Notamacropus eugenii: one gene and its partners. The protein of the gene in region 2 interacts with the protein of the main gene of each other region in a pairwise test. Links are inferred from orthologs where the notes say so. Each region holds a gene or a part of one and is shown on either strand. Other genes may lie near its edges. The genes, in order: ZFYVE9, PPP1CA and RANBP9.

Region 1 (3,825 bases), about 490 Mb from region 2:
TACAAGTCAAGAGACTTCCCAAAGGTCATACAGAGAGCAAGAAGTAAAATTTGAACCTAGTGCTACCTCAAGTCCTTGTGGAATTTGCAGAGATGTTCTGCCATACTTCCATCCTGAAACCCACCTGAAGAACAAGGACATTATACTACAGCTGGTTGAGCTAGGTAAGTTGATAAAGTGCCAGCGTATTTTAATAATGTTGAAGGAGTGGGGAAAACATAGAAATACTTTCATTTTTTACCAAAAATCTATCTGTTGAGTACTTCAGTGGGTTATCAAAGGAAGATGCCTAATATTCTCTCATGGAGATATTTAAGAAACGAAGAAAGGCCAATTTACCAGGATGGTCTGGAGGAAAGATAATGTAATAGAGCACAGAAGGTTCCTTCTGGTGCTGCAACTACAATAGTGTGATCAATAAAATCTCATCTTCATGTTCCATTGCTCTCTAGTTTAGAACAATGATAATGAAATAACACCCAAATGGATGTGGAATCTTTTAGATAGGAGCTTCAACTGCAGAATCTCAGCCCACCACGCCGTTCAATCCCATGTGCCTCTTGTCCAGGTGTTTCCCTCAATTTACCACAGAGTCTCACCTAACCTAGAGAGTTTGTCTATGAGACTAAGCAGCTAGGTGTCTAAATACAAAGAGCACCTGGCCTGGAGGAAGGAAAATCTGAGTTCAAATCCGGCCTCAGACACTTACTAGCTGCATGACCCTGGGCAAGTCTCTTCACCCTGTTTGCCTAGGTTTCCAAATCAGTAAAGGAGCAGGAGAAGGAAATGGCAAACCATTCCAGGATCTTTGCCAAGAAAATCCCAAATGGGGTCACCAAGAGTCAAACTCAACTGATCAATAACACACATACATATATATATATATATATATATATATATATATATATATATATATATATATATACTTAAATAAAACAGCAAAAGTAAAACAAATTGGGTTGCCTTCAGGAAATCACAAAGCTCCTTTAATGACCTAAGTTCTCCCAGAAACAAATGCACATCTCTTTAATACCAATAATTTAGTGGGGATATAAGGTTGAGTCAATTAAATAATAGAATCATAAAGTCTCCCAAGTCATAAAGTTGATACACCTTATGTACTCTATTAAACCACAAATAATGACAAACTAGCGTTGAAGCTTCAATCCAAAAAGTAGAAAATGTCCTCTCTCCAAAGTCACTCTTTGTAAAAGACGTTTACCTATTCACAGTAGGTCAAGGTGAAGACAAGAAAATGCTATATTCACATTTTCCATGAACACCTTATTTATGGTATCACATTGTAATCAGTAACGTTCTTTTTCCACTAATATGCAAAGAAGATAATTCATTTCTAAAAATTAAGATCTATTCCGTTGCCATCTGGTACCTGTTCAGTGGCTAGTTAGAGCGATAAAAAACCACCCCTCCTCCGCCACTCATCATCTGGACCTACTTAGCAGTAACCTGGAGGACTCCTCAGGGAGGTCCTGCCCTGCTCCGGAACAGCCCCCACTGCCCAGCCCACCTCTTTATCACAACTGGAGGCTGCCCCCGGGCCGCCAAGCAGGGCTTAGGGGGGTGCCAGCCTTCGGGGCTGCGGGGAGGCCAGGTGCCCCCGGGCAATGCGGGGTGGCGAAGCACCAGTTGCTCCCGGAGGTTCTCCTGCCCACGAAGGGGCTCTGGGGTGCCGGGGCAGCCCGAGCCGCAGGGCCAGGAGGTCGCGGGCAGGGCCTCGAACTGGATGCCGGCGAGGTGCCAGCCCCGGCGCGCCCGAGGATGCCCGGGGATTTCCCCACAGAGGCATCACATGCGCCCACGCGCAGCCCACGCAAACATACACACAGTCCCTCCGCCCGCAGGGCTGGGGTCTCTCTGGGAGGCCCAACAGGGGGACCCGGGGCCCAGGGGAGCCCTCCCCCCCTCCCCGGCAGCGGGGGGCTGCGGGTCCGGGAAGGCGTACATGCGTACGTACGTGTGAGTGCTGCGTGCCCGCATATGCCGCGTACATGTGTGGGGGTGGGGGGCCGCTCACATATGCGTAGGTTGGGCCCGCGCTGGGTGGACCTGGGTGCCGGGATCCCTGCGTGTGCCGGGCATTGTGTGCCCGTGGGCGAGGGGACGGCGGGGGAGGGGGCAGCGGGCTCCCGGGCACTGCCACCTCCCCCCGCGCCCCGGCCCCGATGCGGCTGCCCCTCCGCCCCCCACGGAGACCCCCGCGGGCGCGGGCGGGGTGCGTGAGCGGGCCGCGCGTTCCCGCGCCCCCCTCCCCCCGGCTCGCGCCGCGCGCGCACTTACCGCGGGCCGCCGCTCCCGCCGCCCGGGTCCGCATGGCCGGGGCCCCCGCGCCGGGGCCGCCTGGGGAGGGCGCAGCCCCCGCGCCCGCCGCCGCTGCCGCCCCGCGCCGCCCGCTCCGCATTGGGCTCCGGCCCCGCCCGACCGGCCCTGGCTCCGGCTCCGGGGCCGGGCCCCGAGCGAGGGACTCCCGCACCGAGGAGGGAGCGCAACTCCGGCCGCCGCCCCTGCCGCCCGGCCGTCCTCCCTCTCCGCTCCGGTGCCGGTCCTGGTCCTGGTCCTCCGGCCGCCGCGGCCGCCCCGCCCCGCAGCGCCCCCTGGCCGGGGCTCGGGCTACGGCGCCCGGACTGACTGCGGCGGCCGCCGACGGGGGCGGGGCGGCCGCGGGGGAGGAGGGAGGGGGGAGGGGGGAGGAGGGAGGCGGAGGGAGCCCGAGGCGAGGCGGGCGGGGCCGGGCCGGGCCGGGCCGGGCCGCGCCGCCTGCCGCCGCACTCCACCTAGGCTTAGCACGGCCGCCGCCTTAGCAGCTGCCGCTGCCAACTTGGCCAGCCTGCACGGGCATGGCTTAGAGGGCGGGCCCGAGGCCCAGCTCCGACCCCTTGAGGGGATGGGGCTGGAGACGGGCTACTATCCCTGCCAGTCCCAAAAGAGGCAATCGGAGACCCAGGGCCAGGAGCGAGGAGAGGGGTCCGAGCCTGGCCCCCAGCTCCGCCCCCAAAGGAGCAGAGGCTCCGCCCCCAACGGAGCAGAGACCCCCCCCCCCCAGCTCCGCCCTCAAAGGAGCAGAAGGGTCCGAGCATGGCCCCCTAGCTCCGCCCCCAAAGGAGCAGAGGCCCCCCCCCCCAGCTCCGCCCCCAACGGAGCAGAGGCGCCCCCCCCCCAGCTCCGCCCCCAAAGGAGCAGAGGCCCCCCCCCAGCTCCGCCCCCAAAGGAGCAGAGGCCCCCCCCCAGCTCCGCCCTCAAAGGAGCAGAAGGGTCCGAGCCTGGCCCCTAGCTCCGCCCCCAAAGGAGCAGAGGCCCCCCCCCCAGCTCCGCCCCCAAAGGAGCAGAAGGGTCCCAGCCTGGCCCCTAGCTCCGCCCCCAGGGAGAAGGGGGCTCCTAGCCCAGCACCAAGGCTGATGTGCTGGGAGGATTCCTCAAGGGAAGGCTTTTGGCTCGGCCTCCAGGCATCCCGTCACCATGAAGACCCCTCCTAGGCGCTAGTAATGGAAGGCAACACGGCCACTGTCCCTGCCTTCAAGAAACTTCCATTCCTAGAGCTTCCTGCACCGGACAAATAGAAACTAGAGACAGGACAGAGGAGGTACCCCCATCCCTATAAACTCGGTCAATGCAGGATTATGCTCCAGCACGTGGAATGGGTCTTTGTAGGAGGAGCACGTGGAGCTGAGTTTTGAAGGAAGCTAGAGATTCTTTATTTTTTTTAAGTAAGTACTTATTGATATCTTCAGTTCTTGCATCCTCACAGTTATTCCCAGCATTCTATCCCCTTCCCTTCCCATAGCAGCACCGAGCAGAGGAGGCAGCAGC
Region 2 (3,825 bases):
CCCTGCGGTAGGGTCCCGGACCATTGAGCTCTGAGTCTGAGCCAAGGGAGCTGGAGTCATCCTGGATATCAGGGGCCTGGGCCAGGTCCTCCCCCAGGGCGGCAGCCATGGATGGCCTGCCCCCTGCTCCTGCAAAGAATCAGAAGCCAGCATCCCGGGGTTACCAGGAGGTCGCTGGCAGCCCCCAGGCCAGGTTCAACCCAGCTTCGTCCATCCTCCTCCTCACCCCCAGGCCCAGACCTGAGCTCCCCCTCCTCAGCTTACACCTGACTCACCTCAGACCGCTGCTGCTTTGCTCAGCCCCTCTTCTCACCTCTGGGGCGCTGGCGCTCTCTCACTTCCTCCCCAGAATCATTTCCTCCTTAGCTGGGTAGCCCCTGGGGTGGGGGTGGGGGCCCACTCTGCCCCTCGCTTTTTCCTGCCCTGACCCAGCCTCCTGCCCCCCACCTGCCTTTCCTTCTTGCGCCCCAGGGATGGCTGGGCTCTCCCCTGCCCCATCACCCTTATATCCAGAGGGCCGACCCCCCCCCCCAACCTTGCCGAAGCTGCTTCTGCGGGGTCTCTCCTCCCTCCTCACATAAGGAAGCCCTGTGCAGTCAGAAGCCTCCGACTCTCTAGGACTCAGTTTCTCCCTTTGTGGTTCTGAATCTGACAATCTCATGGCGCGGCCTCCAGCCCAGGATGGACCACGGGTGGGCTTCCTCGGACTTCCAGCTCCCACGTGGGGGCTGGTCCTGCGTGCTGGCCCACAGCTAAGCGGGAGCCCGGGGGGCAGGGACGGCGCCACTGTCCAGGGTCCTGGAGAGCCCGAGGGCTCAGAAGGCGGCCGAGCGTTCCCGGGGGGGGGGGGTCCCCTGCTGGGAGGGTCCCCCCAGGCCTCCCTTCCTTCCAGCTCCACTTCCCTGGTCTTCCCTCGAACTCCCGCCCCTCCCCCCTCATCATCACCACCACCACCAAGGCGAACGTCTCTGTAGCGCTCTAGGGCTTATAAAGTCCTGACAGCCCCATTTTAAAGACTAGGAAACGGAAGCAGGCAGAGGTTGGGAGAGCAGCCAGGGGTCTAGGGCTGGGGAGGAACGGTCCGAAGGCATATTCGAACCCGCAGCTTGAAGGATCACCGTGGGCAAAGCGCCACCTCGCGGCCCATTTCCCTCTTCTTTCTCGGCCCCCTCTAGGCCCCGCCCCTCTCCCACCACGGGCCCCGCCCACTCCCCCTTCCAGTTCCCTCTTCATTTCCTGGTCCCGCCCCTGTTCTCGGCCTCTTTTCCGGCTCTGGCTGGGGCCCCTCCCTAGCCCTCCTCCTGCTTCTTTTCCTCCTCTTGTCGGGGCCGGCTCTTGACTCGTCGGTCCCACCCCTCCCCTCCTCCTATCCGGGCCGCCGGCTCTCTCCCGGTCCCACCCCTCGTCTCCTCCTCCTCCTATAAGAGCCCTCCGATCGCTCACTGGTCCCGCCTTCCTCCGCCACCGCCGCGGCTGCTCCCCTCCCGCCCGGAGGGCGGCGCTGTGGCGCGCGGCTCGGGGCGGGGCCTGGGCGGGGGCTGAGGCCGCGGGCAGAGGGCGGAGGGCGCGGCGGCGGAGGCGGCGGCGGCGTGAGCGGGCGGCGGGAGCGGCGGCGGCGGGCACGGGCCGGAGGGACGGAGCCGGGGCCCTCGGGGCGGTGCCGCCATGGCCGACAGCGAGAAGCTCAACCTGGACTCCATCATCGGGAGGCTGCTGGAAGGTACCGGGCGGGGCCCGGGGGCCCGGACGGGGGCGGCCGGAAGCGGGGCCGGGGCTTCGCCGGAAGTGCCCGCGGGAGGGGAGGGTGGGGGCCGGGCGGAAGTGCGGCGGGGGCGGGGGGCACCCGGGAACTGGGGGGGGGGGGGCGGGGGCAGGCGGTCTCTGAGGCCTGTGTCCAGTGCAGGGCTCCCGACCCGGCAAGAACGTGCAGCTGACGGAGAACGAGATCCGCGGCCTGTGTCTCAAGTCCCGGGAGATCTTCCTGAGCCAGCCCATCCTCCTCGAGCTCGAGGCACCCCTCAAGATCTGCGGTGAGACCCCCGAGGGGGGCGGCCGGAAGTGCCCGTACGCCGGACACGGCCTCTACAAAGGCCTGGAGGTGGGAGATGAGTCTGAGCCAGGGCGCCCTCCCACCTCTCGACCAGCCCCTTGTAGGGTTTGGGCCAAGCCTCGGTGGTGCTTTGCACCCTACCCCCTCCCCCAGGGCCTAACAGGGTCAAGACGGGGCCAGTGATTGGCTGCAGTGGGAGCTGGGCACCCATGCCCCACTCTCTGAGCCCAGGACAGTTGCCTTCCCAAGGGGGATTTTGAATGGAGCTGGAGTGGCCTGGAGGTCCTTCCCTCCCTGGTCTGGGCTCTTCATGAGTCCAGGGGGTCATTGGCCCACCCTGTTCACGGGCTCCTCTCCCTACGTAGGTGACATCCACGGCCAGTACTATGACCTGCTCAGACTGTTCGAGTACGGGGGCTTTCCCCCGGAGAGCAACTACCTCTTCCTGGGGGACTATGTGGACCGGGGCAAACAGTCCCTGGAGACCATCTGCCTGCTGCTGGCCTACAAGATCAAGTACCCAGAGAATTTCTTCCTCCTTCGAGGGAACCACGAGTGTGCCAGCATCAACCGCATCTACGGCTTCTATGACGAGTGTGAGTGGGGGGTGAGGACAAGGGCGGACGGGTAGTTGAGCCCTTCTCAGGGCTAAGTGGGGGGTCAGCCCCCAGGGCTCATTAGCAGCCTGTCTTCATGGAGCTCCCTCTCCTTCCCTCACAGGCAAGAGACGCTACAACATAAAGCTCTGGAAAACCTTCACGGACTGCTTCAACTGCCTGCCTATTGCAGCCATCGTAGACGAGAAGATTTTCTGCTGTCACGGGGGTGAGGCTTGGTGTGTGGGGCACTGTGACCCTGGGGCTACCTCCCACTTCTTCCAGAGGGTGGGAGGGTCTCCAGCCTGGGGTAGGGGAGTGGTCACCCACCAGGCCAGTCAGGGCTGAGGGGCTCAGAGGAGGCCGCCTTCTCCAGGACTGTCCCCAGACCTACAGTCCATGGAGCAGATCCGGCGCATTATGAGGCCCACAGACGTGCCGGACCAAGGGCTGCTGTGTGACCTCCTGTGGTCAGACCCTGACAAAGACGTGCAAGGCTGGGGGGAGAATGACCGTGGCGTCTCCTTTACTTTTGGAGCTGAGGTGGTGGCCAAGTTCCTTCATAAACATGACCTGGACCTCATCTGCAGAGCACACCAGGTCAGGGACTGGGGCTAGGGGCAGGACGACCTGGCCCGGCCCAGAGGGAGGGATGCTGACCAGGCTTTGCTTTGGCCCAGGTGGTAGAAGATGGTTATGAATTCTTTGCCAAGCGGCAACTGGTGACCCTCTTCTCTGCCCCCAACTACTGTGGTGAGTTTGACAATGCAGGCGCCATGATGAGTGTGGATGAAACCCTCATGTGCTCTTTCCAGGTGCGTGAGCCCAGGGCTGGAGAGGGAAACTTTCTGGGACCAGCCTCTCCCCAGGGCAGCCCATCTGACCAGCCCTATCTCTCCGCAGATCCTTAAGCCAGCCGACAAGAACAAAGGCAAATATGGGCAGTTTAGTGGCCTGAATCCTGGTGGCCGCCCCATCACCCCACCCCGTAACTCTGCCAAGGCCAAGAAATAGCCGTCGTGGGCATGACTGATTGTACAGAAATCCTGGCTCCTCCTGGGGTCTCTGACATCCAGGAGAGCCTCTAGTTGCAGGGAGCACCAAACCTTGGTGTAATTTTCTTTTATAAAACAAAATCAAATAGTCTACTTCCCTCTAGCCTTGCCCTGTTCTCCCTCT
Region 3 (3,825 bases), on a different chromosome or scaffold from region 2:
CTAAGCCATGCTGTCTCTTTTATGTATTAACATATTCATGGCATGAAAAATGTAAAGTTTATATGTGCTGGGAGAGGACCATCATAGGATTTTAGAGTTGCAAGGAACCTTAGATGTCAGCTAGTGTAATTCACGCATTTCACAGGTGAGGAAGACTGAGCAGAAAGGACACTCGAGGATGAGGAGCAAGCTCTAAACAAAGTCCAAAGAAAAACTGTTACTTTTTCTTGGCGTCACAGGAATTCTTAATGTGTTTGTTAATTGCAAACTCAGGATTCCTGTAGGGACTTCTGAAGCTACTGTCTACATCCCGAACAAGTGTAAGCAGACAGGGCGAGCGGGCACGGCCGGGCTCTCCGGCCTGTCCGGAGCCGGCACCACTCCGAAGTGGCCTGCTGGGGGGCACTCAGCTCTGCCCCGTGGGTGCTCAGCGCTGCGGGCTGAGGGGATGCTGCACCGACACCAGCACTCGATTACTCTAGCCTAAGCGAGAGGCTGCGGCTAGAGCCGCCGCTGGTGGAGGGAGGAGGGCGACAAAACAAAAAGAAGTACAAGTAGGAGGGGGAAGAAGAGGAGCCGGAGCGGCGGGTTGGCTGGGGGAAAGGCGGACCCGAGAAATAAAGGAGAGGACGAGGGGGAGGGTGGCGTGGAAGAGAGCACGCCGCGAAACCCAGAGCTCCTTCCTGGCGTGAAGGGGACGCGGGGATCACTCAAGTGGTGAGTCCCCGAGGCATCCCCGGGAGAAGCCCAGCTGATCGGACTCGCGCGTGCGCGCACTGGCTGCCAGGCCACTCTACCGCCTCCTCCCCCTCCCCCTCATCGCGCACAGACCGCAGCGCCTCCGGCAGCCCTCCCCGCTTCTCCACCCTCCGGGGACCAGGCCCGCCGAGCTCGCCGGGATCTCGCGCTCTTTGGCCGACCTACGGCGCGCCCTCCCTTCAGTTCCTCCCCGCCCCCTCTCGTTCTCTCCTCCCTCTCTCCCTCCCCCCGCCCCTCTCCCCGTTCCTCCGTCCCTGCCCCTCCCCCCTCTCCCCGCCTCTCTCGCCTAGCGCCGCCTGCGCGCTACGTCTTGCGCCGGCGGAGTCCGCCGCAGGCTAACAGCGGCAGCGGCAGCGGCGGCGGCAGCACCGACCTCCTCCGCCTGTTCCCTCGCGCGCTCCCCCCGCCCGCCCTCCGTCTCCCTCCATCTCCCTCCGTCGCTTCGGCCGTCTCCGTGCCTCGCGCGACTGCCCAGCTCGAGCCAACGTTCTTTCTCTCAACCTCCCCCCCTCCGCTCCTCCATCCCCGGCTCTCAGCCCAGCGTCTTCTCGGCTTCCCCTCCCCCACGAGCCCCCCAACCGCCGCGCTCACCCCTAGGCGCGCGGGCCCGCCGCCTGCTTCCGGGGAGAGGGGGGGTGGGGGCGGGCGGACGGACCGACGGACTGGGCCAGTGCTGGCAGCGCCCCTGGAGAGCGGAGGAGGAAGAAGGAGAAGAGGAGGAGGCGGAGGCGGGGGTGTGAGTCTCGGCCGGGATCGGGATGTCCGGGCAGCAGCAGCAGCAGCAGCAGCATCCACATCCACAACAGCAGCAGCAGCCGCTGCCGGCCGTGGCTCCGGCCCCGGGGGTCGTCCTGCCAGCCCCCACCCCCGTTAGTGCCGGCTCCTCTCCGGTCGGCCCCGGCGCGGCCGCGTCCCCGGCTGGGGCAGCAGGAAGCGGCGGCGGCGGCGTCGGGGTGGGGGCCGGGGCGGCCGCCCTGCTCCTGCACCCGCCACCTCCGCCGCCGCCCCCGGCCACCGCGGCCCCGCCGCCGCCTCCGCCGCCGCCTCCCCCGCCTCCGGCCGCGGCCGCCGCTTCCCCGGCCCCCGGCATCTCGGCGGCTGCCAGCCCTGCCGGAGGGGCCCCGCCGGTGGCCACGGGGAGCAGCGCCCCGGCCCCCTTTCCCCACGGGGACCCGGCCCTGAACGAGCAGGAGAAGGAGCTTCAGCGGCGGCTCAAGCGTCTCTACCCGGCGGTGGACGAGCAAGAGACGCCGCTGCCTCGCTCGTGGAGCCCGAAGGACAAGTTCAGCTACATCGGCCTCTCGCAGAACAACCTGCGGGTCCACTACAAAGGTAAGTGGCCTAGGCCCCCCACCCGGAATCCCGCCACTTCCGTGTTTTTGTTTTTAAAAGGCTTTTTCGCTGCCGAACTTGTTTTCAAAGGGTTTCAAATTCGGCGATGGAGGGTGGTGGAAAGAAAGGTGGGGGCAGGCCGCATCCGAGGGACTGGGAAGATCCTGGGGAAAGGAAAGTGAGCATAATTATCCTGAGCAGAGATGTAGTAATCTTCGAACCCGTAACAGGACACCTTGAAAGGATCCAGAAAGGAAACATTTTTTGCAACAATGTCAGGACAGAACTCTTTTCTGATCTCTCTTAAAGTAGAGCAAACTTCTATCTTCTGTGTTGTGGTTACATTGTTCTCCCAGGATTCTCGCTTTAATTCTTTTGGTGGAGGGATAAAAAGAATCTTAAGTATAATCACTTATCTATGGAGGTCAGGAACACGAAGGAGATGGATGTTTATTTAGTGCAAGATTTTTCCGAAAAGTAGGCCAGAAATTGTTTAGAAAAGGAAGAACCAAGGGCACAAGTTCGAAGTCAACGTATTTCATCAGACACAACAGGGAAGTGTCAGGAAGGTGAAGCCACAAAAACAAATCTTGGCTACTGAAACGTAGTAGAAAGGGGAATAGCATTAAAGTAATCTGTACTTTTATATAGATAGAGGTAGTGTTGTGGAAACAAGATTATTTCACACTTGCTAATGTCTTGATATTGCTATTACATACTTTTAATTTACAAGATCTCTGTGACTGTCAGCAGACATTCTCAAAACAAAGCTTTCTGAAAAAATAGCTGTGAATAAAATTGCATATTGTGTGGAGACAGGGCTTGAAATTCCCTGAAAAGTAAACAGCAGCTATGTTAATCTGAACAGTAAATATATTAATCTGACCTATTTTTTAAAAAAAATCCATCTAACAATAAATATTAAATCTGGAAACAAATATACTGTTTTAGGCCCAAGACCTGAAATAAGAGCTTTCATGTTCAAAACAGCCTCTTTTTGATTGACTGCAATGAGAGGGTCTTGATGGAGTCCTAGGCAGATGAACATAGAGGGCAAAAACAACTTTGTGGTTAAATCTTTAAAGTATACAGGGTGAAATTTGAGACAGACTTAGATAAATGAGTTACTGTTTAATCATAAAGGAGAATGGCTACAGGCACATAGCTAGCATGATTTGGCTGTACTGAGAAGACCCATATACATTAAATCTGGTGTTGCTGAATATTGATTTCCTCATTTTTTTCTTGCCACTTCTAGACAGCATTGCCAATTTAAAACAATTACATTGTTAAAAATTTCAGAATAATATACTAGTTGTTAAACTTTTAACTTTCTATTTTTATTACTGAGGTTTTATGCTATGTGGATATGGTTTTTATCTTTGATATAACTTCCAAAAAAGTTTCCTAAGTTGGACTTGATAGATTCTCATTTTTATTACAAACTTCAGTCAATGGAAAAATATATGTAAACCAGTTTTAGTGTCGTGTGGTGGAAAGAACCACTGGAGTCAGTTAATTTTAGCTATTACTCTTGATTGTATTATTTAATGTGATCTTGAGCACGTCACGGACCTCACCTTCCTCATCTGTACAATGAAGCAAAGATCCTAGGAACTTTTATTGACTTTAGTTTCTTTAACTTAGGCATAAATATGGTCTTAATTGTTTAAGTCAATTTCAATAGCTACTTTAAAAGTGAATAATGAAAATGAATTATTTTATGTGCGTTTT

Evidence for each region.
Region 1: the proteins of PPP1CA (region 2) and ZFYVE9 interact in binary tests that used the Homo sapiens proteins (3 or more experiments, as listed by UniProt). The link is inferred for Notamacropus eugenii from reciprocal best matches to the Homo sapiens genes PPP1CA and ZFYVE9.
Region 3: the proteins of PPP1CA (region 2) and RANBP9 interact in a two-hybrid assay, tested with the Homo sapiens proteins (2 studies listed by BioGRID and IntAct). The link is inferred for Notamacropus eugenii from reciprocal best matches to the Homo sapiens genes PPP1CA and RANBP9.

Annotation. Positions count from the first base shown.
Region 1 is NC_092873.1:512,294,530-512,298,354, reverse strand, and holds the start of ZFYVE9 (zinc finger FYVE domain-containing protein 9), read right to left. Parts: upstream 2,387-3,825; 5' UTR 2,299-2,386; intron 2,131-2,298; exon of another isoform or gene 1,976-2,130; intron 1-1,975. UniProt on the Homo sapiens protein: Early endosomal protein that functions to recruit SMAD2/SMAD3 to intracellular membranes and to the TGF-beta receptor.
Region 2 is NC_092873.1:19,861,098-19,864,922, reverse strand, and holds the start of PPP1CA (serine/threonine-protein phosphatase PP1-alpha catalytic subunit), read left to right. Parts: upstream 1-1,572; 5' UTR 1,573-1,665; coding exon 1,666-1,720; intron 1,721-1,898; coding exon 1,899-2,030; intron 2,031-2,415; coding exon 2,416-2,646; intron 2,647-2,770; coding exon 2,771-2,875; intron 2,876-3,022; coding exon 3,023-3,246; intron 3,247-3,326; coding exon 3,327-3,461; intron 3,462-3,549; coding exon 3,550-3,660; 3' UTR 3,661-3,825. Other genes in the region: TBC1D10C (carabin), read right to left, coding at 1-109. UniProt on the Homo sapiens protein: Protein phosphatase that associates with over 200 regulatory proteins to form highly specific holoenzymes which dephosphorylate hundreds of biological targets.
Region 3 is NC_092875.1:185,683,977-185,687,801, reverse strand, and holds the start of RANBP9 (ran-binding protein 9), read left to right. Parts: upstream 1-1,092; 5' UTR 1,093-1,517; coding exon 1,518-2,091; intron 2,092-3,825. UniProt on the Homo sapiens protein: May act as scaffolding protein, and as adapter protein to couple membrane receptors to intracellular signaling pathways. Acts as a mediator of cell spreading and actin cytoskeleton rearrangement.